2 linked regions of the Daphnia pulex genome follow. The protein of the gene in region 2 purifies or fractionates together with the protein of the main gene of each other region. This does not show direct contact. Links are inferred from orthologs where the notes say so. Each region holds a gene or a part of one and is shown on either strand. Other genes may lie near its edges. The genes, in order: bone morphogenetic protein 2-like and dorsal-ventral patterning protein Sog-like.

What was found.
Region 1: the proteins of dorsal-ventral patterning protein Sog-like (region 2) and bone morphogenetic protein 2-like purify together in Drosophila melanogaster (affinity purification with western blotting; 4 studies listed by BioGRID). This does not show direct contact. The link is inferred for Daphnia pulex from reciprocal best matches to the Drosophila melanogaster genes sog and dpp.

The regions. Positions count from the first base shown.
Region 1 is NC_060019.1:10,268,206-10,284,464, forward strand, and holds the start of bone morphogenetic protein 2-like, read right to left. Parts: upstream 9,996-16,259; 5' UTR 9,656-9,995; intron 9,053-9,655; 5' UTR 8,494-9,052; intron 3,883-8,493; exon of another isoform or gene 3,107-3,882; intron 1,742-3,106; exon of another isoform or gene 1,272-1,741; intron 1,178-1,271; exon of another isoform or gene 731-1,177; intron 1-730. UniProt on the Drosophila melanogaster protein: Required during oogenesis for eggshell patterning and dorsal/ventral patterning of the embryo.
Region 2 is NC_060018.1:10,725,085-10,741,249, reverse strand, and holds the start of dorsal-ventral patterning protein Sog-like, read right to left. Parts: upstream 9,414-16,165; 5' UTR 8,848-9,413; intron 7,972-8,847; 5' UTR 7,530-7,971; coding exon 7,352-7,529; intron 530-7,351; coding exon 426-529; intron 1-425. UniProt on the Drosophila melanogaster protein: Putative negative growth factor. Antagonist of dpp, a protein involved in patterning the dorsal region and in the development of the neuroectoderm; dpp inhibition is enhanced by tsg.

The sequences.
Region 1 (16,259 bases), on a different chromosome or scaffold from region 2:
ATTCCTTCATCCTGGTGGTGGTTGGAGGAGAGCCCAGGTGAGAGAGAGAGCCTGGGCCAGTCAGCGGGAAGCCGCCCGTTTCTCTCCTAGAGCTCCGTTGTTGTTTGTTTCAAGGAGTGGCTCTCCAAGAGTTTTTTTTTTTCTCTTGTAAAAACAAGAAAAAATAATAAAAGAAGAAAAAAAAATCTCTTGGGTCTCTCTCTCCCATCCTCCCGAGATTCCTCCTCCTCCTCCTTCCAAGATGTGTGCGCCACAGTCCGCGCGTCCGCGTGTCTTGTACATTTTTTATTTTATTTTATTTTCATCCCACCTGGGCCGTGCCCCTCTCTGCCCGAAGCGTGCCAGATGGTTCCAGGTGTTTCTTCTTTCTATCGAGCAACAAGAAGAAGTAAAAGAAGAAGAAGAAAAAAGGAGAAACGACTTTGCTGGGGCCCAGGTGGCTTCCATTACTCGGCAACATGACAGGACCCTCTTCTTCTTCTTCTTCTTGGCCCAGCAGAGATCTTTTATTTTTATTTTTACAAGAAAAGATGTTTTGGTACAAAGAAGAAGAAAAAGCCAAGGACTTTTGCCTTTTTCTTCCTTTTTTTACACTAATAAATATTGAGATGATTATTCGTCCCGCATTTCGGTGGGACCCGCATATTGGACCGGGACCTTGTCCCGTGACGAAAAATGTCACTCCCACCATCGATTTGCGTGTCAATCAAATTTAACGGGCGAAACTTACGCGCTAATGTGACGCAGATTGTCAGTAATCCTGAGAATAAAATACTGCCGACAGCTGTTGAAAGATGAGAGACCCACACACAACCAAATAACGATTATCTGCCACTTTGGGGCTCCTTCCAGGAGAGAAAACAACCACAGAGAAGTTATCGACACACACTCTCACTGTTGGAATAAATAAATATCCTTCTCCTTTTTTTCCGATTAGATAGACAACAGCACGTCCAACGTAGAAGAAGAAGCCAAGTCCTTAATGACTAAAAGCTGTTTCACTCTCCTCACCAGTGGACAAAAAAATGGCACTGGACACTGGACAGGACGATGACCCTGTTCCGTTTCGATCGAGCACAACACTGACGACCAAGTAACCACTCAAGCCCAGCTTATATATGATCTATTTAAGACTTGAGAGAGATGTTATTATCTGCTGTAAGGTAGGACACAATTTTCGGGTGGTGGTGGGGTGGGGGGTGGGCATGGGAGGTGGGCTCACACAGGTGTTAATGAAAAAGGCTTTCTTCTTTTTCTATACTTTTTTTTACCTTTGCTCATTAATCAAGGTTAATCCTGGCCAGGGAAAAATGCGCGCGCTCTTTTTGAACAGGTGGGACCGCCCACTTTATTTCTCTCTCGACTAGTAGAACCGTAGCACCTTTCATTTTTGACAGTTTCTTTTCCCCTCAGAGCCAGAAATGAGTTAACAACGTGTTGAAAAGAAAAATATGAAGAACAGAGAGCTTGTCAACGGTGTTATCTTTTGGACGGTGGACGTGAAACAGTTTGTGTGTGTCCGTTTTCTTCCTATTTATTCCCCGTTGTGTTAGCCATTTTGGGGTGGGGTGGTGGTTGGAGAGATAAGATACACATGTAGTACCTGTAAGCAGAGATCTCATTGCAAGAGGGTGGGGGGAATGATGAAAAAGCGTGGGTATATTATATTACGTCCCACACGTCTTGTTTACGGTCGAAATCCAAACCCAAGGATATTTTTTGGGACTTTGATTATTTCAATTTGCAAATCACCAAATATTTTTGGGGTCGTGTGTGAATAATGACGACCGTTTTCGCACTTTGCCCGTGTGTGTCAGGCCACACCCTAAATTTCTGTTGAATCACAAAACGCCAAAACGGAGATAAGCTCACAAGCCAGATAAGATAATTTCGCCACGCAACTGGTGCACACACAAGTGCCCCCCCCCCCCCCAGAGATGTTTATTTGAAAAATAGGTGCGCGCGAAATTTTCGAAATTTGAAAAAAAGGAAAGAAAATAAAACGACCAAGAAAAATCGATTGGATTGGCTCTCTCGGTTGGTTCTTATATATGCAGAAGAAGAAGAGATGGGCTTGCCAACAAGAAATGGGAAAGCCGCACCTGTAAAGAGAAATAAAACAAGAGTCCGATCTCTCTCTCTCTCTCTAGCTGCTTTTGGGCCGGGTTCCTCTCACACATCACGGCCGCGTATCGTACCACCTCGACCATATTAGTCAAATAGCAGAAAGGAAATCAACATAAAAGAAGCGACTCTCCACCGTCTCTCTCCACCTGTGCCACATCTTTTCAGAGAGAGAGAGAGAGAGAGATAAAAAGGAGGATTATAAGACGAGAAAAATATAAAACTCTGGCGTGATTTTTTTTAACCTTTAAATAAATAAGAAAAGAATTTTTTAAAAATGTTTTTTTGACCGCAAAAATTTCAAGCGAATAAATGGCGCCCAATTCAAAATCCTTCTTTTGAAAATGTTTCAGTTCATAGTTCAGTTTTTCTATTTTTAATTTAAAAAAAAACAAGAAATGACGCTGCAAATAAAAAGTGTTGGATCAAAGATCTTTTGGCCTCCAGCCCGGATCATATCTATACTACGTACACTATATAACACCACCACCAATAATGATCATAAATGGCCTTGTGCAAAGGCCAAAAGGAGAGAGAGGTTGTCTCTATTCCTCTTTCATAGCTCCGACAAAAAAGTTTTTAAAAAAATATTTAGGAAGAAATAAAACACGGACAACCAACCGAAAAAAAAACAAACAAAAATGTCAAAGACAAGAAGAAAAAAAAAGTTTTTTTAGTGAGCGGAGTCAGTCAGTCTGTGATCCTTTCAGGTGGGCCGGCGACAGTATACACACGGCCCCGCTCGCCATATATACCAGAGTCACAGGTGAAATTGGTTCATATCGCAGACTGTCCACTACCAAAAAATGTTGTCGTCGTCTTTTATTTTTCTCCCCTTTTTTCAGACCTTTTCCCCTTTGTCTGCCCATGTCTATCCCTTCCGACTAAAACTCGATTGAAAAATTTGGGTTTCAATCCTTGGAGGAGCCACACAGCGCCAACACTAAAAAATAAAGCAATTTGGGTTTAAGATTGTTTTTACCTTGGTCATATTCCGTCGTCTAGCATGTTTTTTGTCCACGACTGGCCCCCACCCCTTTTTGTTTGTTATTTCGCTTAATTTTGGGTAATTTCTTTCTTTAGTTGGCGATCACTTTATTGGGTGGTGGAGAAATTTCCTCGGACTCAAAATTGAACCAAAACACTTTTTTTTTTAATTTTCTTCTTTGATGGTTGAATATATTGTCCAGTTATTTTGTAAAAAAATTCACAATTCACTCGTAGAAATTTTCGGGGCCGGCGGTGTTCAAATCAAATCAAACGAAAATAAAGAACTTTCACAGAATCACGAATCCGTCCGTCGCCAAATTCAAAACTCGGAAACTTCGGTTTCACCTCGACACACGTAAAAAAACACACGGGAGAAAATAAGAAGAAGTTAAAAACACTTTCGGGACGACCAGAGAAATTATTTTCGACCTCCCCTCAAAAAAAATAATCAAACAGAAAACCAAGTGGGTCGCACAAATCGATGAAAAATTGACAATCGAATAAAACCGTCAAAGTTTCGACAAAATTTCTTGGTTGTTTGGTTTCTCTTGGCGTTCAAAAACTTTGTGAAAAAAAAAATTCAGAGTCGAGTTAAAACGGAAAAAAAAATTGCGTGGATTATGTAGCACACACCTGCGCCGTACCTGAAGGGAGAGCGGCAACTGAAAATGTTGGAGACCGGCAAGAGTGGTTTAAAACGGACTTTTCTTTGGGGGTTCTTCTTCTTCTTTATTTTCTTTATATTTTTTCCGTTTTGGGTTTGTGTGTGTGTGTGTTGGTTGGGGGCTTCTATCTCTCTCTCCTCACTCCTCCTACCTTTTGGGTTTGTCTTTTCTCCTCCCACCTCCCACCTCCCAACCCACCACCTCCTGCTTCGTATCAGGTGGAACTAAAGGTAAGAAAAAGGGAGGGGAAACCACTCGGAAAAGATGTGCCAGAGGGGGGGGAACACACGACAGAGGAGGAGGACGGAAGGGGGAGGCCCACGGGGCATAGACCATCGCACCCAACTTCTTCTTCTTCTTCTTCCAACAAACTTTTTCTTCTTCTTCTTCCAACAGGTAAAACAAAACCAAAAAATTAAGAATAAAAAATTAAGACAAATCAAGAGTACCATGGCCCTACCGTCTAAATAATATTCACGGTCGAGCGCTATCTATACGCATAGGTCAAAAGAGAATAAATAAAAATCGATTTTTCACCTGCTGTTGACAAAATAAGAGACTAGGTGCGTAAAAAGAAACTCGGCAATAATATCCAGCGGGTGGGACCCCCCTCACCTATATGGGGAGGGGGGGGGGGGATACCTTTTATTCTTTAAAAATTTTTTCCCGTATACTACGCGGATATGTACATGCATGTGTGAATTGAAACAAGGTCTTTTTTCTTTTTCTTTTTTAATTCTTTCTGTTCTAATTCCTTCATTCTTCCCCTCTTCTTCAACCAGGAGAGAGTGAACACACACCACCTGGAGAAGACCCCCAAGAGTTGTCAGAAGAGGATACACACACACACGTACATTTACTGTAAATAGGAAAAAAGAAGAAGAAGAAGATGGGGGCCCACAGGTGTGCTGGCTGGAGACCCCAAGAAACTCTTAGCGTGGCCCTTTTTTTTTCCTGGGAGTGTGTGTTGCGCCCAGGGTTTTTTCTCTGGTAGACAGCATGCCGCCAGCCCAGTGGGGGGCCAAGGACGGCCTTCTTCTTCCAACTTATTCTTCTTCTTCTTGGCCGTAGATACTGTGAAATGTCCGCCATCATCAATTCACGTTTACCCAACAAAGTCGTGTCTCTTTTTTTTTTCTCTTTTTTTCATTTTCATTTTATGTTTATTTCGTGTGTGTGTGTGTATAATATCTTGTCGATATCATTACGCATGAATTATTCATCGGCGCGTGTTCAGCGCGCGTGCCCCCGGCTCTCCCCCCCCCCTTCTTATTGCACATGTATATATCCAGCGGATGATACCGAGCTATATATATAAGTTACTTATATAGTAAGAGAGAGAATGGAAAAAAAGGTTTTGGTAGAAAAGATCTTTTCTTTTCTTTTCTTTTTGAGGCTATTTGGCAGTGAAGGATATTGTCGGATGGGCATTATGCGGACGACCGCTGTACAGGTGGATCGGACGCACAGGTGTTCCAAACTTCGCATTCACACACACACACAAAAGGAGAAAAAAAGAAAAAAAGGGAGATGTGAAATTCGATCCATCCATCCACCGGACGATTTTTTCCGTTGTGAAAAAAAAGAAGAAAATTTAATTCGTTCGGTTTTATTCAATTGAAACGAAGAAAAATCGATAAAAATGAATAAAAGAAATTTGGATAGACATATATAAAATCGTTCCAGCTTTCGATTGTTTTGTTTTTTTTTGTTGTTGGCCAGTTTATCTACCTGGTACGACAAGAAGCAACGAGGGCCAGCCAAAATAAAATAAAATAGAAATAAAAATAGTCGGGAGGCTTTCACCCGATTTCTGTTGTGGGCCCCGGCGATCGTGATTAACGCCAACTGATAACCAAACAGCCATTTGTTTAGTTCTACCTCCAGTTCTCCCCCCCTTTTCTCTCATTGACAAACCGGATTTCATTTGGGAAGGATAAACAAACAAAAAAACAATTTGAATTCAAAATAACAAATGGAAATTTAAAAAAAGAGATGGATGGACTTTTTTTTCTTATCACCTAGGCTCAATTCGGTTTGGGACCGACACGGGCTCTTGTATATTTTGTCTTGATAAATAATTATACCAAAAATCTGATCAAACGGGTATTTTGGCGAATTGGACGGGAGCGCGCGGAAGACTTTTGAAATCATCCGCGCGGAATGGCCAAGTAGCAACTACTATTTGTTAGTAGAGTGGAGGGAGTTGGCGGTGGCATTTGATATGGAAATTGTGATACGATCCGGTATTTATTTAAAAAAAAACCCAAACAAACTTTGATGATGTTCCATGTCCAAATCCAGAAAACGCCAATTGTTTTTATTTATTTCCCCGCAGAATAAATGAATTCCGTTGGTGAATTTCAATGAACATTTTCTTTTATTTTCACGTTTACCTTTTGCCAGGTTAAATTTAAAAAAAAAAAAAGAATTTCCCCCGTTCACGGATGGAAACAAGGTGCGACCGAAAGTTCCCAACAACAACAACGAAACAACATTTTAATCTCAACAAATTTATATTTTTCCTTTTTGAAATAAACCGTGAAAGAAACACCTGTGCGCTCCAAAGTTTATATATTTTTCTTCTTCTTCTTTCCTGCTGCACAGCCACTCCATATTTTGGTTCGACAGGGCCCAACCCCGGTCTCACCTGTTACGACGTAATAAGACTCCCCACCTCCCCAAAAACTTATTATACTGCGCGTTCGTTCGTTCGTTCGTTTTCTTTTATATTTCTTTTCCCATTACCCGGCAGGTATATATATTTTTTTCTTTTTTAATTCTCCCAGCTGATCTTTTGACTTCATTCATTCATGAACAGAGTCAACCTCCAAAAAGAAAAGAAGAAAAAAGGTACAAACAACAAACAAACAAGAGACGGGCCCCTCCCTGATGTTTCATTGTTCTTTTCCACATTCCTTATTTAATTTTTCATTTGATATTCGCGATTAAAACCAAACAAAAAGACGTTTCGTAACGGCAATCAGTTAATTATCAACAACAACAAGCGAGTTGAAGGTCCCCCCTCGGGCGCTACATACGGATGATGATGCAACCACCCGAAAAAAAAAATGTTGAAATCTCTTGAGGAGTTATTTGATGTAATAATAATTTAATGTAATCATCGTCGGTAGAGGAGGACTATTATATGCAAATGATGTCAAGCTGTTGAGAGATTGTGTGTGTACACAGGTGTTGAGCTCTCTCTTCTTCTTCTTCTTTTTCTTTTGGGGATAAACATTGGAATTCTTCCCATTTGTGATCTCGCCAATTAGATAAGCGTTGGTGTTTTTCTTCTTCTTCTTCTTTCCAGGAATCCCTGGCCAGTAGTTAACAGCAGGTGGTGCGCATTTCCAGTCAAAAGGTGCGAATGGATAAAAGAGGGGCTTGGCCCATCAACACCATTCCAACACCACATTTTTGCATATTATCCACAAAGCTGGACGTCGTCTATCCGTCGTTGTATAGGTCATGGATGGAAAATAAAACAATTGCGCAAAATGGGAGCGGTGGGGGGGGGAAATTTCAAAAAAAACTTTCAAATCAGTTGGACGAGAAAACACCTAGCTCTCAAGTTGCCCGGCAACTGGGCAAGATGATGCGTCACTGTTTGAATAAGAGAGAGAAAAAGGGGGCCAGCAGCAAAGCTGGAGATGGAATGCGTCCTGTGTGTGAACGATCGTCCTCCCGAATAAAAATTTCGCTGACTAGTTGGATAGGAATTTGTTTTCCACCTGTCGGCCGGTTCATTACAGACAACAAAATGGCCACTCTGGGGGCCAGCAACAAGTTGGCACCAGAACCTTATTCTCTCCTATCTCTGCTCGCAAGTTATTGAAGTTGTTTATATGTCGTAACCCAGGTGTGTGCGCATACAAAACGGCTACAATCTTATAAGAAGAGATAAGTTCCACAGCGAATAAAAAAGTTAAAAATCTCTTTTTTTTTCTTTCTCGCTGTTGGCCTCAATGTCGCCGGTCACATATTATTCGTTGGAATATATATGTAGAGACAAATATTTATTAGATGCAGTTTGATTGTGTCCCTTTTCTGGTCCCTCGCATTCGTTTTTTGTTTGCCTTTCTCTCCTCTCTTACGTGTTTTTTTTTTTCTCTTTTTTTAAAAACACCCGCGAGATCTAAACACAAGATGAACGACGTTGGCACGAGAACTTGAAAAGTTCTTTTTTCAGATTTCCAAATTCCCCAGATCGAAAAAAGAAAACGGGACAGGAATTATTATTCGATACGCCGGGGATTTTAAAAAATTTTGGATTTTTAAAAATATTTTGATTAATTAGCGTAATCGTGGCCACCGGTTTCCATCACATATCGACTGGGGGTATTTGTGCTTTTATTATTATTGTCCCCGTTTTGTATTTCTCATTCTGGTCCCTTTTTTCCATCTTCTTCTTCTTCTTCTTCCAGGAAAAAAGAAAAGCACTCAGCATCCCCTTCCCCCTTAACTTTCTTGGGTTTCCTCATTTGGAGGGTGGAAAAAGGTTTTTATCTTTCTTTTTGTTTTTCCAATTTAAAAGTTTTACCCTCCAGTAAAAAAAAAGTTAAAATTTAAAAAAATAAATCTTCCCCGAAAAATCGATTTTTAGTAAATATGTTTGAAAAATTATCCAGTGAAATTCCACCGAGTTCAAATTTTTCTACAAAATTTTTGCGGGAATTTTGAAAAAATAGACGAAAAAATTTTTGTTAAAAACCTGGAACTGTTGAGTCGATGACGATTGGATGTGTCCAGTCGATGGATGGACGGGCGGGAGAGGAGGATGAAGTTGGCAGTGGGCGAGTGCGTTGCTGATACAACCGCGGGAGATCCGTGTCATCCTGGCCTTTTAGCAGTTTAGCACAGCGGTGGTGGCGATCCTCCCTGACTGGCAATCACGCAGTGCCCGATCTTCATAGCACACACACACACACACGACACCAAAACGCAATGATGGGCACAACAACACACCTGGCACTATCAACAGCACGATGGATCAAACTGATGGATTGGAAAACGGCCGCCGTTGTCCAAACGTGGCGTGTGTTATATATATATATTCAACTGGACGCAACTTTCACTTCTTCACTCACGACACACAACTGACGATGGCGTAACACTGAACGCAATAGCCAATAACTAACAGGGTTTCAAAATGGCGACGAAATTGGCGGGCATTTTATAACCGACGATTTTTTAAAAACAAAATAAATCACGAACACACACACTCTCGGGCTGGGAGACGCACGTGGAATGGATTGTCCAACCGGGAATCCCTGGAGGGAGAAAAAAGAAACAGAATTAAATATCGATTTAAAAATAAAATAAAAAGGAGGAAACGATTGGGTGGAAAAATAAAAAGAAGAAGGTCGATATTCTTTTTTAACCTTCGTCTACTTTTTATTTTTATATTCCTTTTTTTGTTTCGGAAGGTAAAAACAAAAGAAGAAGAAGAAGAAAAACCAGGTGGAAAACTTAAGACAAAAAGAAGAAGAAGAAGAAGTAGGGGGTGGATTGAAAAAGAGAGGGGGGGGGAAGGGCAGAAAAATGGAGGGGGAAAAGTTTTTATTCCGTTTGGAACTTGGAAGGTTTTTGGGTTGGGTTTTTCAGGAGGGAGGGTCATCTCTTTTGTCGTCTCAAAATGTCTGAAATTTCATTCCCCCCAAAAAAGAAAAATTGATTTTCGATAGTTTTTAATGAAATTACAAAATGTTGATCAATCTTATTGCACAGTCTATTGTTTGTTTTAATTGAAGTGGGGGTCCATTCCACCTGGGACTGGAAAGGTGTCAAAAAAGTAACAGACGGGAAAAGTTGCACATGAAGAAAACACAGGTGTTGTGTGAGGTAGGGTGGGGGGGATCTAATGAGTCTAACACCTTTTTGCTGGAAATGGCGGATGCACAGGTGCACAACTTTGTTGGTGTTTTGGTTCTTGGCACCGAGAAGAAGAAATTCCGTTTGATGAGGCGAAACAGAAATTCGATCAAAAGAAACAAACAAGGAAAAATTGAGGGGGGAAAAATGCCACCGACCAACCGCACTGGTCACATCACACGAAGGACTGAGAGCCCAGGAGTAGAAAGAGACGCTTCCACTGGGCAGCCAGCAGACGAAAAATAAAAATCCCCTGGAAATGCATCCCAATGTTTGTATATATATATATATATCTATCGGCTATATCTTTTCTTCCAAACTAAATACCATTTTCTTTCTCTCTGTGTACACGAAGGTAGAGGGCGATCTAAACACACACACAGGGACAACATTGCCAGCAGCACTTTGGAGGAGGGGGAAAAAGGTAAAACAAGATGGTCACCCCATCAAGAAAAACCCCCAAAAAAGGTTTTTTTTTTTTTTTTCTTTTTAAAAAACATACATCTATTTAGAGTGGCTTTTAAGCTTCTTCTCTTTTTAGTTTTTTACCCCTCGAACATTCCCTGGGCATATCGGAAAAAAGTATCGTCCAGTGACTATCGATTCTTATTTTTGGAGACGAACGACAACGTATACCGGGAAAGAGAATGGGGCAATTAAAAGGTAAAAACAGACCCTCTCTTTTTTTGTGACTGGGGTCGGGTGGCGACAGGAGCCCCAACGGTTATATATACACATGGTGGAATAGAGAGATGAGAGATGACAAGGAGCCGAAGGAGAACAAAAGTCGTCCAAGGTTTCCGCAGGATGAATCTGAAGGAGCAAAAGAAAGAAGAGGAGGCCATATAATAAATATAAGGCTCCCCTTCCATACAAGGAGAAATCTAATAAAGAAAATGACAACTCGAAAAAGGTCACTATACTTGTCAGCGCCATGCCAAATTTCAATGTCCAACACAATTTTTTATTTCAAAGGTATATTTTTTGTTTTCAGCGTGAATTTGAAACCCGGAAATTAAAATTGAAGCGGGAAATTCAAAATGATGAGCTTTTGAAAAATGTATAAGACACCGACCAATGATCAAAGGGCATATCAAATTGCTCAACTGTACAAGCTCACCCTTGTTTATCGAATGATTTGCGACCAGCGGCGCAGTGTGTACACGTGTAATCAATATTGGCTTACACACAACTCGTGTTTGTTGTTGTTGTGTGTTTTCGTCTGTTAAGAAAAAGTGGGTTGCCTTGATTTTTTCAGATTCGTTTTATTCTGTGTGTGTCCTCCTCTCAATTTTCTTTTGCCTCAATCTTTGTAATCACGTCGGCGTTCGTGATTGCATAGCCTTGTGCGTCCAATCCCGCGCGCTTCTACATAGCCCTATGGTATTAGAAGCGTAACAACAACAACAACAACCGAGAAAATTTCTATTTGGAGGCTATTGGATTTTTGTTTTTTCGTCCACAGGTGTGCAGCTTATTCTCTCTCTATTGCGGCTTTTCCTCCCCCTTCTGTATACGAGTTCGGTTGGCGAGTGGGTTGGAAGAAGGAGTCATCCTCCGCCATAACCCGCGCACTTTGCTCTGTAATTAAGACGGAAAAGAAAAAGAAAAACCCGGCAGAAATGTTTTTTTCGACCGCTCTTTTCCCCCCCCCCCATCCTCTCAATACACACACACATAGATATAAATTACATATAGAGTTAAAATAGGGGAGGATCTACCTCTCTAGTACTGGTCGAACAAAAACGAAGAAACGAAAATGTTATCTCTACCAAAAGAAGAATTTAGACAAGAAAAAAAAGATTCAACTGGGCGGATCCGAATTTTATGTACGAACTTAATATTCCCTTTAATTTTTATTTTTTCAGGAAAAAACCAGAAAAAAAGGTTTGGTTATTTTCTTCTTTGGCCAGCAACAAGAAGACGAAGCGGAACATTTAAACGATTCCGATTGGGAAAAATAAACAATATATATTTTTTTTTTATTAATATATGCGCAGTTATTAGGTAAGCGCCTCAGAGAGAAGGTGTGTCGGATCTCTATTGCCTTGGAAGAAAACATGCCGACAAAATGCGATGAGATATCGTATGGTAAATAGTTTCGGAAAGAGAAAAATAAGCCGCGCGCGAAACATTTTGAAAAATTGATGGCCAAAGAATTTCGTCATTTTCTTTTTAAAAAAGAAGAAAGTTTTCTTCTTTTTTTTGTTGTTTTTTTTTTAAAAGCTGCTGGGTAGGTTTATACAAAGGTGCAGCCGGAGCACAGGTGTGTGTGTCCATTCATCTCCATCCGGCGAAACTGTTGGGAGAATCAATTCGCCATGGGACGTCCAGCAGTGTGGAAGAAAGTCAATCAAAAACGTATAGATATCTGAGGAAAAAATTGAAAAATTGAATGACAATTCACTGGAGAGAAAGGTGTCGGATGGAAAACACAACACGGACAAAGGTGAGAGCGACTATATGGACGGTTGTATATAGGAAGAAGAAAATACGAAGAATATGTGAAAAAAGAAGAAGAAGAATAGACGAGACTGGAGAATCAGGCGCAGCAGACTGCGTGGCGGCTGTTGTTCCGTTTTTTCTCTCTTCGACACCCCAGGGGAGTTTTTACCTTGGCCAGCAAAACCACAAGGAGAGAGAAGCACCGGGGCTGCTGCTGCTGCCATCATCATCATCGCTACATATAAGAATTTAGGTCTTTTTTTTTTTTAATAATAATAAAAAAGGGGGCACAAGAAAAGCGGATCCATTTTTGAAAGACTTTTATTTTTCCGTGTGTTGTCCACCTGTGCAGCAGCAGCACCGCGAGTTCAACATTTTCTCTTTGACAGGAGCCAGTCACTTTCCTCGACAGAGTTTTAATTGACGTGGGGTCGGGCCTATACTGCTGTCTAAATTTATTTTGTATCTCAACAATCAAGTGCTAATACATTTGGCCACCGCGCAGAAAAGATTTCGCAGAAAAGCGATTCACACCGAAATCGCAGAGATTAGACATGCCGTGTTACATGTGGCTTTAGACACCTGATCATTTTTATTTTTCCAAAAAAAGGAGGCCATTTCTTTCTTGGGAAAAACGTCCACACCCACACTTATATAGTAAGTAGTAATAGTGGGAAAATGTCACACTCGAGTAGTACAATCGTTTTCTTGTTCTGCTGGACAACCCCCCTGGTGGGCCAGTGTATAGGCCATCACTCTCTCTCTTTCTGCTGAGAATAGAAGAGAAAGAGTTGATTATACTGACCGTTTAGGCCTCTGCTGTAGGACCACCTTCATCTATCAAGTCGCTAGAAGAAGAAAAAGAGAAAATGTCTTTTTCTTATTTTTCCAACAACCAGCCCCCACATCTCAATATTATCTTTCAACACCGGCCCGCCTTCTTTTTTCCATACTTCGCTCACCTGCTGCTGTCTAATACTCAATACAAGTCGAGTGTGTGTCAAGTTTTTCACTTGAGTTTGAAAAGAAAATACGAAGAACCGATTATACCACTTTCTATGCACCGCGAATGATTTCAATCAAATGGAATCAAATCAGAATCTTCTTTGAAATAATTATCCAAGTTTACTCCCCAAATCATTTTGCGGAGAATTACAATGGCAGTCATTATTAGAATTACAATATAATGAATAGAAATCGTGGACACAATCTCAAATGTGTGCGCACATTTCCAAAGAGAAATAACAAAAACAATTGTGGAATGGCATTTGCTGGAACGAGAAAAACGAGATGACGGCGAACTCAGAAACCTCATCGTCGTGTGCTGTGTACAGACAAACTCTCTTGCGTCACCCCCCTTGTTTTTATTGTAAACCAGCTGGCCGTCGAGAGCGATACAATCAATGTCGCATTTTCTAGCGTACACAAAAACCTTGACTGGCTGAGCTAAGCTAACCTTAACGAGCTCATAATAACAATCACAATAATAATATCTGTTATAGACATTTAAGAAGACGAATGGACGTGCACACCTGTGGGCGCGCGCGTATATATATTTTCGTTTCGCCACTTTTATTTACAGTTTCTAACTACACAATAAAACCTGTTCTTCTTTTATATCTACACTCGGTAAAAACTTAGTTTTGTGGAAAAAAAAAGAGACGACCACTCAGTTCCCAATGACCGGCCCTTTTTCTTATCGATATTATACCCACTGGGAGGACAGATAGCAGGACACTCAATAGCGTGCAGAGTTACAATAATACTACGCACTTTTTAAACACAAAAAGCTTGTTAGTTGAAACTTCTTTTTTATCCCCTATCCAATATAATGTAAGAGAAAAGAAAAGTTGCACGCAAAGTGCACGTCATTTAACAAATTTTCCAGCTGGCCATTCATTTGACAGCCTGGCGTACAATGGCAAAGTGCAGAACTGTCACATAATTATTTTAGCCTAGGTGACACACGTACGCGTCATGATGATTAACATCACAGGACATTTTTTAATTTATTTTTTTCCACAACTTTTTCTGGGAAATCATCAAATTTGTAAAGAAATTTTTCCGTTTTTTATTAGAAAAGATAATAAAACATCTCGTCCATCGGGGTCAGAAAAATCAGGTTTGGGAATTTTGTCTTCTGCGGTCGAGAAATTTAGAATTTTCTTCGGAGAATAACACACACACTCGCATGTGTGTGTGTGTGGGTAATATCAATTTGAATTTGGGGGGATTTCGAGGCCTGTTAACAATAACAGGATCCATTAACATTCAAGGGAAGAAACAAAAACAAAAAAAACGAGATATCGAAGCGCTTTTCTTTCCGAGGGGGGAAATTCAAAAACTTTTGTCGATTGTTTCATGTCGCGTCATGCTGGTCAAAAATGGGGGGGTCGAACTTTTGTATAGCGTCTCCTTATTTTGTTTTCTATTTTCCTTTTTAATAATAATAACGTAATCAACAATATTATTTATTACCAGGGCGCGGTATTTTGATTTTTTAACAGGTCAGGGTCCATTTTCCATTATTAGTTGGCAGCGCAGCGACAGGTGGCGTGCACATCATAACCGCTCCTTTTCAGCGCTCTCTCTCTCTCTGGCCGTGTGTGTGGCCGGCTAAACTAACCATCTGAATTCCCAATCTATAAAAAATGAAAATAAAAATACACGTACAAGAAGAAAGAGATAAACTGCATTTCAGAATGATTTGAATAATGAAAGCCGCGCGCGCGCGCGCGCGAGAATTCGAAAGGGATATATAAACGCGGCCGCTCCTCTCTTTTCTTTTGCCTTTTTTTTCTGGCAGTCATAACATCATCCATCAAAAGACATTTTCGTTTATTCAAGCGCACCACACACACAACACACAACACAACACAGAGCCGAAAAGAAGAAGAGCTGTATAATCATCTAACTGGCAAGAAAAGAAACCAAAAGAAAAGAGATTCACCGCCACCATTGGCGGTCTCTCTCTGGCCCACCTGTCCGAAGGGGGTCTCTCTTTCTCTCTTTTATATACTGTGCACACAGAGAAAGAAAGAAACTTGTGTGTTCACCATTTCTAGAGAGATTCTTTGACGATTATTTGTGTTTATTCTGATGATATTCTTCTTCTTTGCGTCGTCGTCGTCGTCATTGGCCGACAACCGAACAAAAGGTCAGATTGGAAGCGAAGGCTGACGGCGAGCAATTACCGGTAGTAAATCTATTGCTGCTGCAGTCGAGTTCGTTTCACATTGCCGTGAGTGAGCGTATAGTATAGTAACGAGGGGCCCTCTTATTATATCATATTCTGCTGTGTGTATAGTGGAGAGACAAACGAACAAAACAAGCCCTCCACTGATTAGGCCAATTAGACTTCTCTTGTTAGCTAGCTGCTCTCTCGACTACTACAGCACATAAGACATTACAGAATGTCTTTTTCTTCTTCTTTCTCGGCTTCCACCTTTTGTGTGTGTGTGTGTGTCGATTGTTGTTGACTCGAGTGAGAAAAAACTCATCGGATGGCCAGAAAAGAAAAGGCCAAATAGGAGAGGGGGGGAGAAAAAGGAAATAAAGAAACACGTAAAACGTGTAGACACATAGAAGAGATAGAAGAGAAAAAAGCGGCCGGAGACATAATAGACACCAAACCGAAAAATGACGGAAAATTGACACCGGATGGGTAATTATGAAATCGAGAAAAAGCTGGTGGAAAAGAAAAAGAAAAAAGACAAAAGGTGGTGGCATGATATAATCACAGGGCTCGGTTCTTTTTGTTATCTGTGAGCTGGCCATTTTTTGTTTTTTGTTTTACCTTATTTTCCACCTGGTCGTCTTTGGCTGGAAACCTATACTATATGTACACATCCCCCGCATTCTCTAATATGTAAACCCCCTGTGTATTATAGACCTGTGGAAAACTGTACAACTTCCCCCCGTGTCTGTATGCATTTCAATTCCAGCAGTATAGTGGACTGCTGGCTCTATATACTCTCGGTTGGCATGCGACCTTCCCATAAAGGCTCTCGCTTAATGATTTTATAAGTGAGACTCTCTTCAGCTCATCTGCTGCTGGGTCTCACCAAAAGTCTCTTGATATCTAATAGGGGGCTTATGATACGTAACCTTGATGGCATTATTTCGAATCAAATTTAAGTTGAATTGTATTTTTTGGGGGAC
Region 2 (16,165 bases):
GAAGAAGAAGCTGGACAAAAATATATAGCTACGTATGGCTACCATTTTCTTTTCCCTACCGGTATATTATATTAGACATCATTTATCATGTCGCCCGGCTTTTCTTTCTTTTTATTTTTCTTCTTTTCTTTCTTTACCTGTCGGACAGAGTTGAACGGCTCATTAGCCGTGATGAAATGAAAACCTTTTTTTTTATTTTCTCTCTCTTTTGTGTGTCGAGTTATTTAAACACAAAACAGACGGACACACACGATCGTCTCTTGTTGAAGAGTTTATAAATAGCGGCCGCGGAGTATAGATATGGCGAAACGGGAATGTTGTACATGTTGGCCGCGTCAATCGATTGACCAAAAAAAGAGTGATGCTGGACAAACACAGGCAGAAACAGAATAAGAAAAATAAATAGAAATAATATAAAAACTTACCGCTATACATTCGCAGCGGATGCAATACATGACGCCGAACGGCGAGCCCAGGTCCGGATTCCACCGCTCTTCCAGCTCGTAGACTTTCTTGCCGAAATGGCAATCTGCAATGAGAAATCGATAAATAAATAAATGTATAGAAAATTGGAGAATTATTTATCGGCAAAGACGACAGTCAATTAGCCGCAGGCCCAATCATTGGAGAAGACGACGGCGCCGATAGAAACTAATCAAACGATTTGCAAGTCTAATCAAACGAATTTTCTCTCTGTGTGTGTGTTTTTTTTTCCTTATATCTATTCGAGATTCGACGCATTCATATTTTCTTCTTAGAGTAGTTCAATTGAGTTATTTTTAACCCGAGAAAAGAACTTTCTAAAACAGATTTGTGAATCGACCGGATAAAATAAGAAGGAGGCCGTCTATTTATTTCCAGACTTGACGGACATATAGTTTTTTCTTCTTCTAAATTTAGTCCGTCGCCCTGTACAACATCGACGAAGATGGCACCCCGGACCTATAATAAATAGTTGAACGGAAAAAATAAAAATTTTTCAAAAAGGATCGCCCAGTTTTTAAACAAAAAAGAAACGGACGACGACGTGACCGGCGCCATGTCTGAAAATGCCTCCGAGATGAAGGTTACGTGTTTGTCTAATATTTCGCCCGTCCGACTGTGTACCCACACACACATAACTAAGCCAGCGAAACTCCAAAGGGGGAAATGGGCAACCAAGGTCCAGCACTAGTATAGCTGGCCTGTCGCTCATTGCAATTTGAGACGGGAAAAATAAAAATAAAAAAAATGAAAAAGAAAAAACGAAGGTCCTTACATTCTGCTGGGCTTCGCTGGCGATATAATAACGAGCTGCCGGGCTCCTCTCCGCGTCCCTCTTCTGTCGAGTTTTGGTTATTAACGACAAAAGGAGAGAAAAGCCCGTCATCGCAATCATTATCGAGTGGATGTGGTCCAGCAGCCAGCCAGCCCAGCTCGACGTACGTTTTCGTATATTATAATAGATTTAATGCGTACGTGAGTGATCATTATAGACGAGTCGCAGATGACACAATAGAGTCCGACAAGATGAGCTCCTAATAATCCCAGCAGTCACACAAGTTGGGGAATATCTATAACGAACGGCCAAAGTTCTTTTGTTCTGTTTAGCTATACGTATATAATCAGCAGCTGGGCCAAAAGACGGGAGAAATATGGACGGAGCAACGAACTTTGCTCCCCGACGACACCTCAATGACACCCACCACCCCCCAGAAACGTATATAAATATATACGATCGTAAATAATTTTCGCGTTCGTTGCTGTGGCCAAGGCCCTCTCTCGTCCAGCATCATGTCATTTCACGACTAAAAATAGTTGTATAAGCCAATCAGCCGGCCCCACATCATATAACAACCTGATCCCCCACCAAACAACATCGCATAGACGCCGAGTTGGCAATGAATAAATAAATAAATTCAAAAATAAATTCAAAAAAGAAGAAAAAAATCAAATGAAATGGAAGAATCGTCTATAACGAAGGCGATCGTATAACTTTTCCATCCGGTATATTCTCTACTCTCTCTGTAAGGTTCGCTTGTTTGGTTGTTTTTTACGACACTCTCCGCTATGGGACCGCGGGACCCTCTACGAACAAAAATATTTTTTTTTCGGGGTCCGTTGAGGATTTTTCTTTTTGTATTTTATGAGTGACATCATGGCAGAACCAAAAGAGGAAACGAGATGGCCCATTGACAAAATCTAAGACAACAACACATAGACCACACACACACGCGCGTCCGTCTTTATAGGGCAATCAAAATTATTATTTTTTATTTTTTGGCGAAAAAATAAAATGGCGTCGCCGGTTCCCCGTTGCGAAGCGTCTGCGACTTTATTTCCCCCCCAAAAAAAATATTTTGTTTTTGAAACCCCGCCCAATTTATTTTCTTTCATAATAAATTTCCCCAACGATAAATGTTAATTCGGTCCATCATTCATTTTTTTTATTTTTATTTTTGGCGCAATGATTAGAACAGTTGGCTGGGCCTTTGAATTTTGCTGGGCTTGTTAGTCCCGTGAGTCCCGTGACAACCAGGTCCTTGGGTCCATAAGTTGGTTCTTATTATCGGGGTCTTATTATTATTATAAAAGATGGAAATTCGGTGATCCACTTGAGAAAAAAAAAGAAAATTTCCCGCCGCTTTGAACTTTTTTGAAAAAGTCGCCAGACGAAATCAATGGGCGGCGCGCAATTCAAACCGTCGTCAAAATTTTCAAAATAATAATAATAAAAAAAAAGAAATATTCAACGAAGAAGAAATCAACTGACGAGAAATTTTGGCGCGCCGTGGGTGTGTATAGTGCGTACGCGTCCAAATGGCCGTAAGGATTTTGATTTTTTTAATATTTGAGAAAAAGGGAAATTTTTTTCTTTTGGGAAATAAAAACGGACATGTTTCTCTTCTCTCATCCATTCTCTGTGCTGCGTTGGTTGCTGGAGCTTTTCCTCTCGAGATTCTTGGCAGCCATCCGAAGATGCCGAATAAGAATGGATGGACTTTCTTCTTCTTTTCTCTGCCCACTTTTCTTATTCAGAAATTTCAGACCCAGCAGCAGAGGACCCAACGGCACGCAGCAGTCGACTGTCGCCTCCCGTCTCTCCCGTCTCTCCCGTCTCTCTCTCTTGGCTATTAACATATTTCCTTAAAGGAACCACTTGACCCTTTTGACAACAACAACAACAACAACAACAACGAAATTCGTGTGAATTTTGGTTTTTTCAAATAAAAAAGAGCGGCAAATTTTCAAAATATTAAAAAAGGGCGGTAGATATTTCTTTAAAAATAATGTTGTGGCTGGCCAGACATAATCAAGTGTCCCATTCATGTATATATACACCCAGGCCGTTGCCGGCGTTGCCCAGTCAATTTTATTTTTTATTTTAAATTTTTATTTTGGAATTCTCTGATGGAATTGATTTATTTCACACTAGACTGGCGCGTTATGAAGTATTTTGCGTGCGCGGATGATTCGCTGTGTGTGCTGTGTGACCCTGCGGGGAAGATGTTGTTGGGTCCGTTTTTCTTTTTATTGGCACGGAGCCAGCCATCATCAGGGCAGCAGCAGCAGCAGAGAACTGCCCAGCAGTTTGTTATTTTGATTTCTTTTGATTGCCACCACCAGGGAGGAAATCAAAAAAATTTCGAATAATAAAAAAATAAAATAATAATTTTTCTGCGTTGTTAATAGCGCGACACACACACAGTGTCCGCGCCCCCTCCTTGCCCGTCTCGCCGTCCGTGTGTGTATGAATTGCGCGTGAAAGATAACGAGAGAGCTCGTCCATTTTCGGGGACGTATCGTCTTTCTCCTGTGCGATGTGGCCCAGCGGGAAAAAAAAAATCGGTGACGTGTCCCAAAACAAAAATCCGTCGATTTTTTCGTAACTTTTTTTTTCTGTATTTTATTTTCTGGCCGTCGTGGATGACCGCCGGCGGCCATCACGAGCCAACTACTATCCTACCATACTCTCCTCTCTCTTCTTCTTCTTCTTCCTCTTCTTCTTCTTCTTCTGTTAACAAACATTCAACTCCGCTCCTTTTCTTCTTCTTCTTCTTCTTCTTCTTCTTCTTCCATTTTTTCGTGCTGTTGTTGTTGTTGTTGTTGTTGGCCGAAACTCTGCGGGTTTCCCCCATCTCTCTACCCCCCCCCTCGAAACTCCTCCCCCATTTGCCATGGCAATCTATCCATCTCTCTGGCCGGCTGCTGGCCCACTTCCTTTTGGCTTCTCCCAATGCCATATTCAATAGGGAAACCAACCAAAAATAAAACTAAAAAATCCACCAACCATTTCTTCGACTCTCCTTCTATTCCGATCGGGAAAAGATTATACAACGACGGCCGGCAGAAGAGATTCACGGTGAGCGATGTGGCGTTAAAAAAAAGGCAAAAAATATTCGGCCCAGCAGCAGCAGCAGCAGCAGCGACGGCGCATATATAACGACCACCAGAAGTTGTAAAAGGCGCCGGGCCAGCAACGCCGCCGCCACCGCCACCGCCGCTGCCGCCGCTGCCGCCAGCGTTTCGAGAGAGAATCAATAAGTTGTTGGCCTTCTCTCTTCTCTTCTCTTCTCTTGTGCTACAGACGGAAAGTGTCTCTCTGTTTTTTCTTTTTTCTGCCCAGTCAATAACAAGTTGATTATAGGAGAAACAAGAGAGAGAAAGAAAGAGATAGTGCCCGGCTGGGATATTCTCAGAAGTGAAACTGACCAGAAGTTTTGATTTTTATATTTTTTCTTACTCGCATGACTTGGCGATTTTTTTTTTTTATTTTTCTGCCCGTCGCATACCAAACGGACGCCCGCGTTCAAGAGTTCAATTCAATTTAAAAGAAAGAAAAAGTAGAAATCCCGGCCAAAACTAAGCTCCCTTCCGTTTCAAATAAATATCGACATTGTCCAGCCGACCGGCGGAAATAAATCGACCGAAATAACAAGGACACATTTATCAGAAGAAGAATAAGAAGAAAACCAAAAAAGACCAAGAAATGAAATTTAAAGGTTTTCCCCAAAAAATCCCCAAATTCCGGTTCTCTCTTTCTCTCTGTGTGTGATCTGAGCGCTGCTCATTTGTTTCAGGAAAAAAATGTTGCCTATATAGGCGGCGGTAGTATATATATCTATCTAATATAATAAACGTGTTTTTCGGGTGACTGGAATGTTTGTTTGTTTGTGTGTTTTTTTCCAACTGGGGGGCTTCTTCTTCCTGCTGGCCCGTCCTTCCGAAAACGGGCAGAGAGAGAAAATAAAAATAAGAAAAAGACAAAGACAGAAGAGAGGAGAACAAGCCGATGATGTTTGATATAAATAGATGACGAGAGATTGCCGGCCAGAAACACACACGTACAGCAGAGCGACTAAACTTTTCCGTTGGGGGGGATCAAGTCGAGTGATGAACGGGCGAACTCTTTGAATGATGACAGGGAAAAGAGCAAAGAAGAATCAAGACAAAAAAAGAAAACTTTTCTTTTAACTTTGATGATTCTATTCTACCCGAAATAATCGAATTGATTTCGTGTTGTGTGTGGCTCTCGTCGACCGATTACATCCGCTCAACTGATTCCTTTCCAATATATAATATCGACTTGTTTTTAGTAATTAATGGGAAAACAGCAGCTCACATCGTTTTGTTTGTTGTATAGATTGACTGGCCGGCTGTATAATAATAAATAACAGCGGTGATTGATTCGTTCAATCAAAAACATATCGGCCTTCTTTCAAGTGAAAGGATTAAAAACAAAAAATAAAAAATAAAATAAAACATCAAATTCGCTGAAATTGTTTCGTAATCTATTCGTGATAATGATTGTCCTTTTCGTGAAATTAAAAAAACACACGTCAAAGTCCCGTCATTAAATGCTCTCCTTTTTTTTTTACTTCTTTACAAACTGGGAAAGACGGACGGACGGGCCAGGGTCCAGGCTTTTTGTTTGTTTGTTTCTGTTTCCTTGAAATCGGGAATCGAAACAAAAAGTTAATTTTTTTATTTTTTTTTTTCATCTTAATAAAATATAAGAAGGACAGACAGTCACGTTTCCTATATCCCGCAATCAAAAAAAGAAGTCAAAAGCAAATAGACAAGAAGGAATACACAAAAAATATGTACCCCGAGTTACACGGATGTTTTTATATGTTTTTTGTTTTTCGGGATTATCTTTTGAAATAAAAAAAAGAATCTCCCAGGCGCTGCCAGGAGCTCCATCCCGGTGGATAGTTTACAGTTGAAATAAAACTCATGTGCCATTCTACGTACACGTACGTATGTACGTATACTATATATTGTGCGCGCACACACACGGGCAACATATAGGACATGACAGGGATGATGATGGGATCGGATGTATATATACAAATACACTCGATGGAGCATTATTAGCGGATGTTGTCTCTACACACAGCACGACGGGCCGGAAAAAAGGATCGAGTTGCTGGAACTCAATTTTGTTTTGGTATTTCTTTTTCCGATCAAAGTTTTGGGGTTTAAAATTATTATTTGATCATTTCTTTTTTAAATCAAAGAAGCAAAGTTGTTGTTGTTTTCTTTTTATGTTGGAGAGAGAGAGAGAGAAATGAAGTTGAGCAAACAACATTTTCAAGTGAGGCAGAAAAACCGGATTCTCTATACTCGTCTGCTCTGCTCTGCTGTGTGTGTGTGTGTGTCTAATGGCTCCAGGGATTTTATATTCTCTCTTCTCTTCTTATATATACTGTTGTTGTTGGGCTGTGCATAGAGTTTGATTGTCTATATTAGACCAGCAGAGCTGCCTTGGAAAAAAATCTTTTACACATTTCGGCGCTCTGAAAGGTTGAAAATAACGATGGCCCTGGCCGTGTGTCTCTAACTAAACCATTTGTAGGGGGGTGATGGAAACGTTCGTGAAAAAATAAACGGCCCAAAAGAAAAAAAAACAAAAGATGAAAGGACAACCCAAAAATTGGTTCCCAGACTCTCTGAGCTGCAATCAATAATCTTTTGTCCGTTCCACACACTCACGCGGACTATACACACTGCTATATCGGCCGGAGCGACAAAGTGCTATATCGGATGCCGAGAGACACACACACAGACCAATACAGTCTTGATTGAATCATACATTTCCCCGATGGAGAAAGAAAGAAGAGACGAAAGGGAAGAATAGCAATCAACGGATCGAGAGATCAAAAAGAAAAGGATAAAAAATCGATTGATCGATTATAAATGAAAGGAGGTGGTTTGGGAGGGTGGTGGTGGTGGTTGGCGGTTGATACGAAGCAGACAGGTGTGTGTGTGTGAGTGAATGAGGAAATGATTGGGATGTGACACACAGACAATAAATAGAATAAAATAACCGGGCGCGGATTTATGATATCAAATTAGATTCGGAACTTACCGGACGTGCGACGATTCTTGTTGGACGACTCCTCCGAAATGATGGGCGGCGGTTTCATTTTACTGTTGCGCTGATGGCCGCCGGATGACGGACCGGCCGCCTGGACGGTCAGCAGTGCCACCAGGACGGCCAGCACGACGGACAGGAACCATTTGCCAGACGGGTAATAACAAGCCATTTTGTTAATAATTTCTTTCTCCTCACCACCCACAACAAAAATTGTCTTTTTCGTTTGTTTTTCAGAAAACAAAATTTGAATTTGGCGCGCAGATAAATCGGTCGGTCCACTTTGCACACTCGAATTTAGCGCACACGTGAAACGCACTTTTTTTTGGAGAAATAATGATAATTTTTACCCGGTTGTCACGCACGCACGAACACGTTGAAAATCTCTTTTTTCGTGTGGACAGAATTCGGGAGAGAGAAAAAAACAAATTGACAATTTCGGGATAGAAAGAAGAAGAAGCGAATTTCAACTGTTTTCAGTCGTCGAGTCGACAGCAGATGACAACGAGCCGTAGAGCAGCACCAGGTCTCTCAGGGCCGCTTCACACCGCATTTCTTTCCGGCCCGTTGATTTTCCCGATTATTTTTCTCTTTTTATTTTTTTCGTGCCGGACCTGAACATTCAAAAAAACAAAAAAGAAGAAGAAAAAAAAAACGTGAAATAATTTGATTTGATTGGTTTTTCGTGCGATTAATAATTAAATAAACAACCTGGATGACACATTTAATTTTAGATCGTCCCACTTTTTTAATATATTATTTCATCTTTAACTTTCACCCCACAAAACGAAAAGGAGAAAAAAACCAAATAAAAATAAAAATAAGAGAAAAATGTTTGAATTCTTTGGGTTGGTTTGTTGTTATACATTTTTTCTTGTCATTTCAAACGGACGAGAGAAAGAGAGATGGCCGTCCCTGGGATCCCGATAAGGACTCGAGGCGCCACCTTACACATGTCTCTCATTTTGATTTGCCCTTTTTTTTATTTTTATTTTTTTCTGAATTCTTTTATTTCGGTTTTTCTGTTGTGTGTGTGTGTTTCACCGAGGAAACACACAAAAATAAAAGAATTGACTCCCGCAGTGCTGTGTGTGTGTGTGTGTATTATATAGTCCTAAGTCTATAAGTATATCGCACGTGAGCCGCATTGGTCATGAGATGAAAATCTTTTCTCTTTTATTTCTTTTCGAATTTTGTATTTTTTCATTTTATTTCAAAAAGAAAAAGAAAAAAAACCCTGCCCCGGGTCCGGGTACAGACTCTGCATATGGTGGCCATGGCCAGCCTTATACACACATGCATCTTCTCTCTTGAAATATATAATATTGTTTCACGTTTGATATCAATTTCCACCTTTGAACGTTATATTACGCCAAACAATTAAATCTGATTCCAAAACCCACCCACCCAAAAGGTGTAGATGGAAAAATCAAAATGAATTGTGTTTCGTATGATAATACCATATGGGCTATTGCGGGGAATGAACTCACCTTTAGTCAGCAGCAGCAGCAGCAGGGCAGGAGAGAAAAAAAAACGAAGAGAGAGAATGAAAAAGAAGAAGAAGAAAAAGAGAATGGAAACTCAATATTTCTCTTTTCTTTCTCTCTCTCTCTTGTATTCCCCGATGCGATTTGATCGAAAAATCCGACTACTATAGCGTGTCGCTGGCGAAAAAATTGTTGGCCGAAATTCACCACGCCGCGATGACGGCCGAGAATCTGTTCGCACTTTTCTCTCTCTTCAATTTATATTTCACTTCTTTTCGCACACAATCAAAATGAAATTCACTTCAAATAATGAAAAAACCGGGGGCGCACTTTTTGAAATTTGTTTGTTGTAATTTTGTTTTGGCGATGGGTGGAATCGTGTGTGGGGTTCTCTCCACCGAATCAAAAGTGGGAGATGGGGGGACGAGAAAAAAGGGTAGGGAGAGAGAGGTAGAGAGAGAGAGAAGAAGAAGAACTTGTAGCGCGTTCGAGAGTTGAATCACGACTGCGCCTCAACTCGGGCGAGCGGCCAGATGTGGTGCTGGGCTTTTTGGGTAGAGCCTTGTGTGTCCCTCCTCTTGACTCTATCCCTCCCTGGCTATAGCTGTGTGTGTGTGTGTATTAAACCCACCTCCTTTTACCTCCTTCTCTCCGCTTGCTGCTGCCGCTGCTGCTGCTGCTGCTGCTCCGGCGTGTTTGGCAACGGGCCCCCGCTTCTATTCTACCACCCATCGGCATTCACAGAGCGAAAAAAGAAGAAAAACTACACACTAGATAGATCAAACTCTGGTGCTGCTGCTGCTGCTGCTGGCCCCGAAATCTTTTCTCTTTGCTGGCCAGTGTGTGTGGTGTGTGTGTGTGTGTGTCTTCTATTGATGGCGCCTATATCAAAAACTGTTTTTTTGGCACACGAAAGACTATCGCCCAGCGTCTCTCTATAGAGAGCGCAAACAGCAGACGCAGCAACAGCCAAACGATCCGGTTTTATTTTTTTATTTTTTTCCTATATGGCATACACACACACACACACACAAGAAAGAAAGAAGAAGAAGAAGAAGCTATTGCTATGCAGCAGTTCGTATGACGTCATTTAGTTTTGAATTTGATTTCTTTCGTCAGGCATTTACGCGCGCGCATTTGAATTAAATTTTTTTGAAAAATCACAATTTCGCGCCCTTTGCATTTTTCAACATTTTAATTAGATCCGGGCGACGTTATTTATTTATTTTTTTAAAGGGGGAAAATATTTATTGATTTCAAGACAAATTAAAAAAAGAAAATACAAAAAATTTATTTTCCGCCAACTGCGCGTTTGGGAGGAGAGACCCCACCCAACTCCTCCTATTCTCCCTTCCAATCAGTTGTCGACATGTTTCTTTTCTAGTGTCTTGTGTGTCTGTGTGTGTGTTGTGTATACCTGAGCGTTACAACCACACCTTCACACCTCTACTTAAAAAAAGAAAAAAGATAAAAAGAGAATAAAAGTTTGAATTTTTTGGTTCGATTCTTCTCAGCTGTGATCACATTATGGATCATATCGTCTCTCCCGGGACGTTATAAGTGCCGGTTGGAAATCGAAAGAAAAGAAAAGAAGAGGACCAACCCCAATAGATCTTGCAGGTGGTCCTTGTGTGTGTGTCTTTCGTGTTGATGATGGGGGGGAGAGATATTTTCTTTCCAGTTAAAAAAGCCGAAAGAAAAAAAAAGAGTCCAGCCTCTTTTGCTCATTTATCCCCTCGACGACTTGTCGACATGAAAAAAAAAAAAATTGTCCAGGTGTGTTTGATGCTGGCCATTGGGCGAAAAATGAAAACAATAGGAATCCGCCAAAGAATTTCCCCAACATTTTTTTTGTTCTTCTTCTTTCAAAAATTAAATCAAAAATCAATTCCTTAGCGAAATGTGTTTGTGTTATTTTTTGGGCCGGCAAACGCTCTATGTATATCAATTGATTATTATACATGTATAGATGGCCCGTATTATTGTCTCATCCATTCCGCCTGGGCGATCCATCAGCAGCAGCAGCGGGGCCCTTTTATCTCTTATTCCCCCCTTATCCCCCAAAAAATACAACCCAATCCAGCTCGCGGGATAGAGCCCGGGATCTACTATTTGGCTGCAGAGCACCAACGATATAATTAAGCACACAGCGAGAGCTGCTCATTAACATGTAATCATCAGGAAACGAGGCGAATTTAAACGCCGAGTGTGTGCGCAGCGCACACAGACACACACACACGTACCAAAAGTCCCGCGCTTATACATACACAGCACAGAGAGAGAAATAACCTAACACAGATAACAACCACGTTAATTAAAAAACCCGAAACTTTTTTTTCGGGGGGGGGGGGGGGATTGTTATATAAATGATTTTCTTTTCTGCCCGTCTCATCACCTTAGACATACTAAACGGATCGATGAACTATGTAACGATCCTCTCCGATGTCTGCACGCGGCCCGTCTATACTCTCTTCCTCGTGTATATATGTAGGGCAAGAGTCCGCCCGTTCGGTTCGTGAGAGAGAGAGAGAAACGGGCGGGCCGAGTCGCAAATAAGGAATCCCGAGTCACTTGACTCCCCGATACTTTGATGTATTGATTGATGCCCGGGCCCCGCTCCTCGCATTTGCCTTCGATGGAATACTATAACAGTTTGAGAGAGAACACAAAACGGACCGGACACACACACAGCAAATTGGCCCGGCTCTAAGTCGATCGTGGGAGACGGAAAATCGCCCTTGGCGTACTTTTTTGTGCAAATGGCGATTTAAAGTTTGAAAATTGGCGGCAAATTGGAATCCAAGAAAATGTCTTTATTTTTTTATTCAAATGCAATCGGCTATGTCTGAGCGCTCTGCTCCCCTTTGAATTTTCATCTCCTTTTTTTTTAGATTTTTAGAGATTCTTCTCTGTGATCCAGCGGCCACGAAATGGGCCAGCGCACTTGCTCTTAAATCACGTTAGATCCCTTTGCCCCTATCCCGCGAAACGTTGGGATTCATTCACTTTGAATTCGTTTCGACTTTTTCTTTTTCTTGAAGAGTTGAAGGAGAGATAGGGCAAACCGACTTGGCGATTCGTTAGCTTTTCCATCCGCCATATCAAAAGGAGTTGAACGAATCAAAAGGGAAGAAGTAGTTGGACAAATTTGATCTTTTTTTTCTTTTTTCCTTTTGATATTCTCTTACAGGATTTGTACAGAGATCTAACCGAGAAAAAGTTGTGTGATGATAAGAAATCGATCCGGAGGAAAAAGAAAAGATCAGAAGAGAATCTCTCTTCTCTTCCATCCATCCGGAATTGAATTTCTTTTTCATTTGCCCAATTCAAAGTTATAACAATCTGATTGAATTACATTCGGTACATAGATACGTTACATACGTGAACTCAATTGCCTGTGTATTGATTCGACTAGACTCTATTTTTTTGGATGGCCGGCAGACGGCCGGCGACGGGCAGACGGGAAATTCCAAAAAAGCTTCATAATTTTATTGTTGTTTACCGATGACCCGAATCTTTTCGATTTTTCCCAAAAATAATCCCTCGTCTACTGCTCGATAAAAACCAAACCAAACGCTATTTATCTTTTTTTTATATAATCCCGTCCGGCGTCCAGCAGTCCCGACGTCCCCCCAAAATAAAAGACGGTTCGATATCAAACAGCACACGTCCCATATAATAAATTTATTATAGATCCCACACTCGTTAGGTTGTTACATGCTGTCGCCCTTATTTTTGGGTGATATCTCACCTTGTTTTGTGGATATATATTTCCATGTTGCGTTGTGTGTCCGTCTCGCCAAGCCAGCCCCCCAAAAAATAAAATGTCCACCCATATCTGCACACACACACATTCAAATTTTTTGATTTGATTTCACGCGTTGGTTTTGGATTTTGCTGCTGGCGGACACGGGCGCGCGCGGGACATATTGGCTGAAACTGCGACACATTTCTCTCTCCCGGCCCGGCGTCGTAGTCGTTTGACAGGCCATGGCAGACGACCGCTCGGCGGTTGACACACACACGGCACCTTGTCGCGCAATCAGTTGACATATTCCCCTCCTCCTCCTCCTCCTTCTACCCCACCTCCTTGTGTGTCGTTTTGTCTTTGGTGTTGGGTATAGTTATAGACGGACTCTCTCTGCCAGAGTCCGCTGTGACTGCTGTGTGTGTGTTACACATTGACACAAGAGATAGACTTGACGACAGCATGCAGCCCAGTCTCAGCCAGAGACGTGTGCCCGTACACATTTTATTAGAGATAGTCCAGCAAACAACCAAACCACCCGACGGGAGGAGGCTGTTATTCTCACACACCCCGCGCCGTTGATATTTTTTTGTATTTTTGAACGGACAACATTTTTTGGCGCCAGTCAGCCCCGACCGGAAGATCTTTTTCATTCAACATAATAAATTGTGTTCCTTTTTATTTTTATTTTCGTGATAAACGACACCCAACCACCCACCTCTGAACACACAACTGCTCCGTTTTAAAAAAGAATAAGAGAAAATTGATCCGTTTTTATGAGGTTGGTTGGTGGGGGGAGGACGGGAGGTGGGTAGCGAAAGATTTGTCTGCATCGTGTCGCCCGTCCGTCCCGTCCGTCCCGCGTCCATCCCGTCCGCGCTGTCCGGCTCTTCTCTATATATTTTATACCAACCCGTGGGCGGCTGGCGCCTGGTTTTAAACAACAGCAGATCGCAGCGGCGCGTCATGTCTGCTGCGATGTGGCCCTGTCGCGTGTCGTCAATTTGGTTTTTCCTTTTCCTTCTTCTTCTTCTTCTTGTATATCGCCACCCATTGTCCAACGCGTTCCCGTGTTGCACAGATCGAGACCGACCGACCGAACGACCGAGCGACCGGCCGGCGGGGAATAGAAGACGAATGGGGTGGGGCCCAGTTTATATCAAACAACAAACTATCCAAAGTCTTTTTTCTTTCTTTTTTTAAATGGTTCTATTAACATTTCGCGAGAGCAGCGACAACCTGGCGCGTCTGTTCAGACACACACACACAAAAAGAGGCGGCCACCATCTAAACGAAACTCGTAAAAAAAAAAACCAAAAAAAAACCAAAATTCACGCGCGAGCAAAATAGGAAATGCTGTGCACAATGTGTTCAATAAATCAAACGAAAGAAAAAAAATCTCCAAAGATTTTAGGAGAAGAAAAAAAAAGTCACGTCGCTCTCGGGTCGATCGTTTTAAAAAAATAAAATATAAAAATGGCGAAAAAAAGTCAATGATTTCTAATTTTACAAAAAAAAATTTGGCGCCAATATTTGAACGAGCGAATCAAATAAATAGGCCGAATATAGTCGACTGGCCATTTTCTATAATTATTTTTTTTCTAGACTGGTATATCATTTGCATATTATTTTTGATTGGTGTCAATGCCGATAGGCTGAGAGAGAACAACAACAACCAAATTCAACTGAGCTGTAAATCTCAACCAAACAACAACCAACATCCAAAAAAAAATCCTTTCTCTCTAAAACAGACAGACGCACACACACACGACCGAGGCGAGGTCACGAGCTTCTATTTAGTTGTTGTATATGTGTATCCCAGCATCTCTTATAATATAGCTGTTGTGTGCGCCCTGCTGCTGCTGCTGTGGTTTTGCCTCTCAGCCAAACTCTTTTCTGATCAACTTCGCTCTATAGCTGCTGCAGTGCTGCTGCTCTGGCTCTGGCTGTTGTTGCTGTTGTTGCTGCGTGTGTGTGTGTGTGTATCATTCCGGCGCCGAAGATCCTGGGCCTCGCCACCAAGGCACGTCATCACTCAAGGTTTTTTTTTTTATTTTAATAATAATAATATTAGTGGAGAGAGAGAGATGCACATACGAAATATTTTTTTTTTTTTTTTTTAGGGCGGGGCCGGACCGGCGACCCCGGCCAAAAAGGTGTCGTAGATTTTTTTTTTTTTGGGGGGGGGGGGAATATTATATAAGAGCAAGGCAGGGCAGCAGCAGCAGCAGCTCAGAGAGATCTGGTATAAGAAAATGAACCGCCGCCCTGTGTGTCTACACACACGAGTGTGCCAGAGTCATTAGCATCGATGGAGATGAGAGCCGAGAGTCTGTTGGCGGGCCACCCCAGCACAGCCACCGCGGCGGCCAACTTGCACACAACACAACGAAATAGCGCGCAGACGAGCCTTATAAGACCGCAGCACCGCAGCGTGGAATATCTAGAAGAAGAAGAAGAGAAACACTACATCTATGCAAATGAATTCATCAATTTATATACACATCTTTTTCTTCTTTCTTTCTTTCTTTCTTCCCATCTGTATATGAAAGTTCCTGGTTCGAAATAAAAAATAGGAAAAAATATTTTTTTCTTATTCTTTTTTTTTTTTTGGCTTCATCGTCTCATTTTCGATTTGGGGGTCGTTTGTTTGCTGGCCAGTCAGTTTATACCTTTCAGTCATAAATCCTAGCAAACGATAGTCGATACTTACGGCGGAGAAGATTATTCCGCGTATAGATATTATAATAGAAGGAGAGCTCTGGCTGTTGTTGTGGCTGTTGTTGTTGTGGCGGGTATCATCTCTCAATCGGTGAGATTCCCTGGCGCCATGGGAAATTTTTGTCTTGTCCCCTCCCCCCCCCCCAAAAATTAGATTTGATTCAATTTTCTTTAAAAAAAAAATTATCTCAAATTTCACGATTGGTAAAAAAAAGGCGCATCAATTTGCATGGGAACAATCAAGGGGAAAGAAAAAAAGGTTCCGGTTCGGATGCGGACCAATGTTGATGATGGCCATTTTGATTTGACCTCCGCTCCGAAATTGTTTTCTTGCGCAGTTATTCGGAGCAGATAAATAGAGACGACGCTCTTGTAAAATAGTTATTGACCTTCTACTACGACGCTTGGAATAATAATAGCCCGTGACATCATCGCCCATCTTCTTCCATTGTCCACTTCATTAAACAGCCCAGCTGTGAGACTCGGATGTGTTCCTAATCGGTCGCTTAGTCAAGGTTTTGTATTTATCCGGGAGAAAAAAAAAGGGCGCGGGAAAAATTTGAATTCAATTGATCGGAAATCAAAAATTTTTTTTTTCTTACGATGTTACATTATTTATAGCCTTGATTATAACAACGAACCGGATCTTGATTATTTGATTGGGAGAGCTGAATTCTCTCATCTCTTCAACGCGGAAAAAGCAAAGTACCGTCGAATTTATTTTTATAAGCGCGCGCGCTGCTTTCTGCGCTAACAAGCTCTTGATTTTATTACATCATATTCAAGGAGGGGATTTACAATATATATTTTGGACCTTGTTTTTCTCAAGATATTTTCTTATTTTTATTTCAT